Drosophila melanogaster: one gene and its partner. The protein of the gene in region 1 purifies or fractionates together with the protein of each later gene. This does not show direct contact. Each region holds a gene or a part of one and is shown on either strand. Other genes may lie near its edges. The genes, in order: heca and raptor.

Region 1 (5,042 bases):
AAAAAAAAAAAACACAAAAAGCGATCTAATTCCTCTTCGTGTTGTTCTCCTATTCGCATTTTTTTTTTTTTTTGATCGCAATGAAATAAATAATAGTATTCGCTGCTCTGGGAAACGGAAATATTAAAAGTAGGCACAAAATAAATAAGAACAAGAACACATCTGGGAAACATACCATACGATAAATGTCCGCTGCTATATGGCAGCATATAAATTTCAATAATTTTTCATTGCCTATGATTTATGAGTAAAAAGAATGCCAATGAAGAGTGAAGAACTACAGCAGAATAAAAGAAAGAAAGCCTTGACCCACCGAAAGCAACAAAACAAAAGATTATAATATTTTATTCATTCCCTCTGAGTTGATGCAAATCGTCGACTTCCTTAAGGGGAAAATATTCGCAAATTTCTCGAATAAACCAGCGCATTTTATTTAATATTTCTGCAAATATTGTCTGTATTTCGCAGCTGTTCAGTCGTCAAGGTTATATAATCTATGGAACCGGCAAACGAACGAAAAACGGGCAAACAAACGCCTCAATTGTTGATAACACTGTGCAACACGATAAAGGAACGAGAGTATCAATCTGGTATCTATTTGGCATGTTTGTTGATAACACCTGAAGCCACTGGAAGTTTTATCAAAGGAAAAGCTAAACAAAACTTATAACAACTGCAGTAAATAAATTCGAAATATTAAGGCCCCCCTTGTCGTTCAGTGTAATTGATAAAAGTTTTGTGAATAAATATTGAAACGCTTATGTACCCCAACCACATGCTGGGGAATTTCGCCACACAAATTTCGCTTTGTTAAACAAGTTAACCAAGTATTTAAGATGAAATTCTAGACAATAAGACTATAGCTCCTTATAATCTATATGGTTATCATGATGATATCTTGTACTTACCGCACTCGATCGGAATAGAGTTCGACCTCCTTGTTCTTCTGCTGCTGCACAAGTTGCTGCTGCTCGTAGCTGGCCAATGGCTTGAAGTTGCTGATATTGGCCAAAGCAGGCAGGTTATTCTGCTGCTGCTGTTGTTGTTGCAGCTGCTGCTGCTGCTGCTGCTGGGGAGCAATCAGCAGATTCTTGGACAAGCCCAATCCATTTTGCAAAAGGTTGCTGCCGAAAGCTGGACCCAGAGGCTGGATCAGCAGCGACTGCTGCTGTTGCTGCTGCTGCTGTGGCAGCAATTGCTGCACCGGCGACACGGATATCTCGCCACTGGACTGGGAGTCCGAGGGCGAGGTGGATCCACTGCCAGCTCCACTGGAGGATAGGCTGCCAGCCCTGGCGCGCAGGTCCAGGCCGAGGACATTGTTCGTATTGAGGATGTTGCTGAAAGTGGCCAGCGCACTGGTCTGCAGAACGCCGGAGGAGCCGTTGTTGCCACTGCTGCCATTGCTGGCGGTGTTGCCGTTGTTGTGGGGCAAACCCGACCCTATGACGCCCACATTGGGATTGGGCGTGAGTCCGGCGTAGCTGTTGCCGTTGTTGTTGCTCAAGGGGGTTTTGGTGTTGCCATTGACACCAGCACCACCACCACCGCCGCCGCCGTTGTTGTTGTTGTTGTTGCGGTTCCTCTTCTTCTTGGCCTTCTTCTTGTCGTCGTCCTCGCTGAGGCTGCCATTGGCCAGAGTGGGCCGGTTGCCAGACCCGTTGAGGTATATGACGCCCTGGCTGCTCGGCGGCACCCAGTCGAGGTCCTTGCGCAATTGTCCCCTGCCGCACTTGCAGCTGCAGGCCTTCTGGACCAGCTCGTAGCCCTTCTTGGTCCACAGGTGCTGCAGACGCTGCCGCTCCGACCAGGATCGAGCACGACCGTTGGCCTTCAGTGCCTGCAGCACGCTCGCCTCCCACCACTCGAAGCACTCGCGATGCATGTACTGGCCTGCGCTGCAGTTCTCGTTGTTGCACAGCACACGGATGCAGTCCGCCAGGGAGAGCTCGTTCAGGTGTATCAGGGTGTCCAGTTTGCGACAGTCTCCGCTGGGCAGGCAGCAGTGGACCATGCCCCCGCCGCCAACGCCGCCAACGCCACCGGTTCCCTGCATGGGCGCCATTAGGACGCCTGAAGAATTCACGTTCTCCGCGTAGAACTGCAGCAGTTGATGCTGCTGCGTCTGGTGCTGCTGCTGCAACTGTTGCTGGTGCTGCTGCTGGGTGCTGTTGCCGCTGCTGCTGATGTTGCTGTTGCGACGCGGAGCCATAAATTTGTGTTTTTTCCTCTTAATATGCACTCGTTGCGGCGAAAAACTTGGTTGGTTGGCTGGGTTGGCTGTCCTCGAGAATCCTCAATCTCTATTTCGAATCAGCATTTTGCCAACGATTATGAATTTCAAAATATTGCTTGTTGATTTTTTCGCGATTTTATGGTGCGATTTGCGGTCTATATAAATGCTGCTGGCATATATTTATTTATTTTTGAACCGATTCCAGAATATATTTCAACTGATGGTTTTGGCAGATCCAGTGAGTTTTCGTGAATTTTAGTGGGTTTTTGTAAATTTTTAGAAATTTTGCAGACAAAAGTCTGATTTTATACGGAATTTAATTTTTTTGTGTATAGTAAATGCTTGTTATTTTAGCGATTTAGTCTGTTTAGGTTTTAACTTTTCGGTTGCCTTTTTCAATTGTTTTCAGTTGGATTTTCCGAGTGGGTTTCTACCGAGATTGGTATTATTTTTAACTTGATGGGTAATTGCTTTCACTTATTGCTTTAAAAATTGTACACCTCCTTGCTGTGTGTATCAAAAATACTTCGAAAAATTCCCGTCAATGCAGTCTGTTGTGTTTTGCGTAATTTTCTGTTTTGTTGTTGTACCTGAGCTGAGTTTATTGTTGTTGTAGAACTTTAAGTATCAAAAATTGTTTTTTTTTTATTGTTTATCTTCGCTTCGTCCCTATCTCCCTCTCACACGATCGTTCGCTCTCATTCACACACGCGGCGCCATGTTCGGCAATTTTTCACATTTTGCTTCGCTTTCTGCGTTTATTTCTTTGCGCCTCTTATTTTTTTGCCGGCAAACAAAAAGGATTAGAGGATAGTGTAAATTTCCGATTGGTTTTTAGTCGCAGGACAATTGTAAACTGGAGTGTTCCTCTTCGATTTATTCGGTTTTGCTAGTTCTCCTGTTTTCCGTTTTTTCCCACCACGAGCGGCGCACGCAGAGAGAAGCCAAAAAACACAACCAACCAGATCGAAAGCGAAATTCAAACTGTTTTTGGTCTGTGCTTGCTCGCCGCGTTCGAACATCGCGCGTCGAACATCGCTGCCGGCGTCGCTGCTTGGCATTGGCAGCGAAGTTGGAGTTTTCCTCCACTCCGATTTTCCGCACTTCTTCATTCCGTTTTTCGGGGTTGGTGGGTGGTGGTTGGCTGGTTTTCACTTTCCACCACCGCCGCCAACCGCTCGCTTTTCATTCGGTGGAAAACTGAACAGATTTTTGGCGCTAAAATGAGAAATGGTGGGGGAAAATTGCGGAAGGGGCTACAAAAAAAGTGTCTAATTCACTAGAATTTTCCACTGTAGGCCAGAATTTGGTACATTTTCCCACTTTACAACGGAACTTTTGATAGCAGTTACATACTTGATTAGATTAAATGTCTTAAAAATATATGTAGGAGTTTAGACTTTTGTTAATAAGCTTCATTTCCATAGAAAATGTTTCTATCAAGCCGTATTTTCTTTAAACTAATAAGAATAATAATAACATGTTTCTAACTTTATAGCCAAAAAGGAATATATATTTCTCCCTATGTTTTGGTTCCAAAATTAAATGAATTCGATTATTATTAAATAATCTAAATTTAATTATTTATTAGAATTTTTAGATTTTACATCCATTTCATTTACAATTAGGAGCTCTCGATGATTCGCCAAAATTCACTTTCGTTGCGGCTCGAAGCTGGTTCGAATCAAGTTCGAAGCCGGTCGTTTCCCCTCCAACATGTTCGACTGCAGTTGCCATGCGAACGTCGAGCGCGTTGGCTCTGTTCCACATGCATGGAGCGTGCATATGTGTTTGTGCCAGAAACCGGCAAAGTAAACAACATGAAAACAGGGTTGCCGAGTCGCTGGAACTCGAACTTGCAGCGCACTTTTGCTTTCCGTGGCTAATCTTTTAATTCCAGTGGAAGTGGAAATGCCGTTCGATGTCTCCATCTCCCTCTGTCGGAACTGCCGTTCTCTGTCGCACGCTTCGATTGCTGTTATATATTTACATACAAACGTATCTATATAATCCCCTATATATTCGCAAGCACATTTGCACAAAAATACAAATACAATGAATGCATGCGAGTGCTGGCAATAAAAGTGGCAGAGACAAAAAGGAAGAGAATTAAAACATTGAACGAAAAAGAGTTGAAGATACCCTACCTTGAATTAAAACAACCAATTAAAACTTGAATACGCAGACCTATTACTGCTTTCAATTGAAACAAGTATGTACATATGTATGAATAATTGTAATAGTTAAATTGTTGATATTAGTCCTAAGATTACGAATATCGCAGGTAACTTTTGTATTATGACTACTTATTTGTGTTTTGACTGTAGGGTATTAAAGTTGCCACCAAAACCCAAATAAGCTTTCAAACGTAGAGCCTTTTTATTGTATCCTCGCCTTTGTGTATATATGTACATACACACATATAAAAATTCCCGCTGTGTTGCAAAAAAAAAAAGTATGCGAAAACGAATAAGAAGAAGCGGTAGAAATGGCAAAAAACAGGCACGTGTAGAACGAAAAGTGGTAAAGGGAAGGGATCTCGCAACCAGATGGGGTTTTCTTATAGGACTCAGGATCTCAGGATCCGGGGTTCTATTCTTTTGGTAACTGCGGTGCAAAGTCAAGGTCCAATTCCACTTATTTTCGAGTCAAACTGCGCAGTTTCCATTTTTTTCTCTCGATTTTGACCTGCCGGGTAGAAGAAGAGCGAGCAGGAGGGAGAGAACCAGAGGGTTCTGATATAATAATTAAGTCAGTCAGGTAGGCAGATCGGCAGCCATTGCGTAATAGGATCGTACGTACGAGT
Region 2 (4,935 bases), on another chromosome or scaffold:
CACGAACGAGGCGGCGGAGACGTGACCGCGCATGTGTTCAGTTAGATATACTGCCACGAACTGTGACTCGAAGAGCACCACCATCCATTGCAGGGCGGCGGCCAGCTCCATGCGGACCAGCGGCGACATATCCTCGCCGACGGTTTCGAGCATGGTAATGGCAATGATGCGATCGATATTATTGGCCTGTTCCTCGCTACGATCCGTCACGGAGCTAATAAATGTGCCTAAGGCGAAGACGGCAGCGGCTCTCACTTCCGGTATCGAGTCCCGCAGCAGTACGTACAGCTTCTCGTGCGCCAGGTCGCGTGCTCCCGACCAACGCGCCTTCTCAAAGTTCTGCCACAGCATGCCCAGACAGATGGCTAGCCACTGGCGCAGCAGCCAACTTCCGTCGTTCAACTGCTCAAGGCAAATAGACAGTAGGGGACCTTGAAGCGCGCTCGTCTGTCCCAGCAGGAAGTTGTGCACTATGGAGGACAATACAAAGGCGGACAGTGTACGGTGCTCCTTGGAAACGGAGGTGTCCTGCAGCACGGAGAGGAAGTACTTGTATTCCTTGACCAGATCCACCTGGCAGCTGGGATCCACGGCCAGGATCTTGGCCCAAATGAACACCAAAACGGGTCGCAGTTCGCGCGTAGAACTCTGCAGCAGTTTAAGCACGTATGGAAAGATGCCCACGCCCAGGGCGAGATTAACGGCCCACGGACCAAGATCCAGAAAGCGAGCCAGCAGCTCCAAGGCCCTCAGACGGTGCACCTGCGACAGTAGGACCTGCAGCACAATGGGCAGCTGTTCCGGTGGCGTTCTCGACTCCGATTCGCTGTCCAGCCAAACCTGGAAGGCCGTGAGCTGGTGCTCGAAGAATGGCAGCTGGCGGTACGGCGCATTGTGATCGAGAATCTCCGGCAGCTGCTGTAGAGCCAAATCTACCACCAGATCCCAGGCCTTCCACATCGGATGGCGATAACAAGGCGGCAGGGCAGGCAGGGAAACTGGTGTGCAGTCGTGGCTTCGCAGAATGCGCTCGGCCAACAGGAAATTGCGGAACAAGCTGGCCACCAGCAGATCCTGGCGAAACAGGCGCTGAAAGAGCTCGCGAGGAAGTGTGTTCCATGCTATCGTGTCCGTAATGGCGGTGAAGATCCAGTTAAGCTCACCCATCATAGTGCGCCGGTCGTTGACCTTGCCTGCGATAGAATTTAATGGTTAACAGCATTCCCTGGGTGAGTAAAGGTATAACCTTACCTGGAATCTTGTCGATCAGTTCGCTCTGAATACGCGGTACCATGCCCAGCTTTTCTTGCATGGCGTACCACTTGAGCGCTATGTTAATGGGTGTTGTCAGACAGCTGGTGAAAAGATCCGCCGGCAGCTGTGCATTCATCGGAAGAATCTCGTTTGCAGCACAGGCAGCCAGGTGTATACAGTTCTTGTAACTGACCATCTGGTTGGTTAACTGCACCTGGTTGGCGGCTACGTTGGCGGCACCACCAGAGCCGCCCACTAACTGTTGGACACCACCCCTCTGCTGGGCGGCGGCCAGCGCCTTCCCTAGTTCTTCCTCGTGCTGTTTAGCGTATGGCTGAAACGAATTGATGATGATCCCGGCGTTGGAGCAGTCATACACGTAGATGGAGGGCGCTGACATCCAAGTGATAAGCTCGAATATGCTCAGGGGGATGTACTGCGTGAAGGTCTTGTTGAACACCCAGATCTCCCCGTTGGCTGTGGGCTTGGGCACTCCGTGTCCGTTGTAGTGGAAGAGTATGCGCTCCCCCTTGGCGTTCCGGCGTAGGGAGGTGCAGAGCTTCTTAACGTCATCCACGGTGGGATCGTTGCACTTCTTGTACCGGGCCCTTGGCTGCCAGCGTTCGTACTGCATCTGCAGGTTGCTTCCAATGAGTTCCATGGCCTTTGGCGGGGACACCGAGCTGGGATCTATCCAGCACTCTAGCCGTGAGCAGGGTTGGATCTTGACCACGTCCGGCGGATCCACGCCGATGTTGAGGCACAGAACCAGGGCCACACTTGCCGTCTTCATGCGCTCGCGGATGCGCCACGGCTGTCTCTCGTACATCATGGCCTGGATGCGCTCCTTGTGCCTTTTAGTCTGCAGGGAGAGCGGGCACCTGTCGTCGCGGATACGCTCGCCGAAGCATAAGCTCCGAGCGGGCGGCATGCCCAGGATCTGTATTTCCTTCAACCGCAGTTTGATAGAGTCGTCCCGGGGCCATTCCTTTCTGATAGTCCGGATTAGCTCCCTCAAAGAACCGAGGGAGGCCAGTTCCTGGCCGTTGGAGGCCTGAATGTCGGATATTTGCTCGATGTGCTTCACGATTGGTACCAGTGATTGGTCCTGCCTCATGTTGCTAATCACCTTACCCAGGTCGTTCAGAGAGTCGTCCTGAGATGGGTCCCGGCCGATGGCCACCTGGTTCCCCAAGGCGGCGGATCGACAGTGCTCGATGTGCTCCAGTTGCTCCATTATCAAGATTATCGGATCGTCCCACGGGGCGAATACATATTTCTCGTATCTCTTGCGGATTAGGACGCTCAGGACGGCCTCCTTGCTGGAGGCCACCTCTTGATCCGCGACGCTGCCGTTGCTGCTGCCGCTGCTTTCGTCGACTGCGACGCCGACTGCGGCAGCGGCGGACTTAGCGCGAACGGCACTTGTCATGTTCTGCGTGCTTTTTGTTTCTCTCGTTTCTCGCTGTATTGCTTTTTTTCTTTTTCCGTTTGCCGAGGAGAGGGTGCAGCTCAATGCGAGCGATTTCCCGGAGCGATTACGTCTCGGTCGCGGATTCAATCAGCTAAAAATCCCCCCGAGGGGACTCTAGCACATAACCCCAAACACTTTTCGCACTTTCCGCACCTCCACCACCGCCAGCGCCTCCTCAGCTCCGCTCCGCGCTTTTCTGCTTTTCTTTCCACGTTCCTCTTCTCCACGTTTTCCGCCTACGGATCGCGGACCATTTCCCGAAAACGGGTAAAAAGAACTCGGGGAAAACACGCCGCCTGGGCTGATTAGGTCGATGCCGGGACAAAATAAAAACCGTACAACTATAGCGAGCGATCTCCGACGGAAGATGGTGCGCATTAACAGGTTTATTTACTTTCGCTTGGGTTTATTTATTTATGTTTAATCGAATTATATTATACGAAAAGAATTGCGCAGAAAATAGAGCTGGAACAAAAATCGATGATTTTTTCGATTGCACGCTGGCAAGCGGTTTACAACATTGATATCGATAATAAACTAACAGCGAAATGGCCTAGCTGTAATGAATGGCGTTGCCAGATCATTACAAGCTCATTTGTAGCGCGTAATTCAAAAGTTTGTTTTGGTTACATTGACAGAAAAAACTAAAGGACTGCTCACCCGCAAAACAGGATCCTCGTGCAAAGGCGGCGGATATCGTACAGTATGGATGCGATGACGGCCGAACAAACCCGTAGCGAAGCTTTCCGCACTTTTCAGCGTTCTCTGGGTCGCAGTATACTTGAAGTAGTACCACTCCGGATTGTACAACTCCGGAAGTAGATCCGGAAATCGCCGCTGCATCCGTTCCGCCAGCTCAATCAGCTCATCCTCACCCTCGGCCACCAGTAATTTCTCATCTTCAGTGGCATTCAGATGCATCCAGTGCCATTGGCGCAGCTTTTCCAATTCAGCGGTGCAGATCGGCGGCTTCGTCTGATCCAGAATGCGTTTCTTTATCTCTGATAGTCGATTTTGCGCCTGAAGGATAACGGATTCGCTAGGATTTCTAGTTCCGTGTCGGATGATGGTCCAAATTCGCGTCGGATGGCAGCCTTGTCGGGTGAAACGGTTAAAAGAGAAAAATCAGCTGTTCCATTGCCATTTGCTAGCAGTAGGCATCGGTAATAATAAACTAGTAATAGTATAATAACAAATCTAAAGCGATTCTCTGTTTTATGATCAATAAAGAATCCATATGCTTTCATGATTATGAATTCACTGTATTAAGCGAGCGCTGTTAACTGTCACATGGCACAACACATGTTTGTATTTCTAAGCGGGTGCCTACTGTGGGTGCGTTACACAGAAAACAACAAAAATACAAACCGGCGTATTTCGGTGGCGTTTCGTCATAATTTGCGATCGCTCTGTAGGGCGTCTTTGTGGACAGTCTGCCCTCGATATCTGCGCGATTAAGGCGGCGGCACTCCCCCTCTTCAGACAACGTCACGCCCACGAAGAAGTGGAGGAGCAACAAAAACAAGCAGTAAAATTGGCTTAGCATCTTTCCGGGCGGTGGAAAAACTTGTCACGAGATTAGAAACGAGGTTTACCGAAAAACGGGGTTAAAACGTGAAAAACAGAACGAAATGCCAGCTCAAAAGAAATCTAGGAAATAATAAACACGAAAGAAAAACAAATTGACAAGTGTGCTAGTCGCGCAAGGTGGCAAGGCTATCAGCTCAGCTGGCAGCCCTAACACATGGGGCAGCCAAAAAAAACCCGTTTCCACCGCCAGTTGGCGGTATTTTTAAATAGCATCTTCGATGGCATCAGTTGTAAGTGCTTGGTTGATTACTCATTTCAGGAAGCTTTATTAACACTATTTTATAATAAATTTAGTTAGATTTGCAGGTGCCTAAATCAGCGCATTGCCACTCAACAAGTGTTCACTTCGCCCAATCGAGCTTTCTGCCTCAAAAAGCTCTGTTTTAACCGGCCCGGCAAACTAAGCGATTAAAAAATGGTTTAGTCGCACGCCAAACACGCAAAAGGAATAAGCGTTGGCAAGGGAAGCATTTTGAATATCCTGTCCAAGAATAAAACGAGAAACTTACACACAACTTAAAATTGCAATAAATAATTAACACCCCTGAATTCGTTTCGTGTGGTCACTCAGTTTTTGTTCCTAAGAGTTTCGGTTAAAATTTGTGCTTATCGAGGTT

Evidence for each region.
Region 2: the proteins of heca (region 1) and raptor purify together in Drosophila melanogaster (affinity purification with western blotting; one study listed by BioGRID). This does not show direct contact.

What each region holds. Positions count from the first base shown.
Region 1 is NT_033777.3:30,276,114-30,281,155, reverse strand, and holds the start of heca (headcase), read right to left. Parts: upstream 3,225-5,042; 5' UTR 2,213-3,224; coding exon 909-2,212; intron 1-908. UniProt on the Drosophila melanogaster protein: Required for imaginal cell differentiation, may be involved in hormonal responsiveness during metamorphosis. Involved in an inhibitory signaling mechanism to determine the number of cells that will form unicellular sprouts in the trachea.
Region 2 is NC_004354.4:6,087,021-6,091,955, forward strand, and holds the start of raptor (raptor), read right to left. Parts: upstream 3,182-4,935; 5' UTR 2,687-3,181; coding exon 1,252-2,686; intron 1,194-1,251; coding exon 1-1,193. Other genes in the region: Mipp2 (multiple inositol polyphosphate phosphatase 2), read right to left, coding at 3,389-3,822, 4,097-4,274.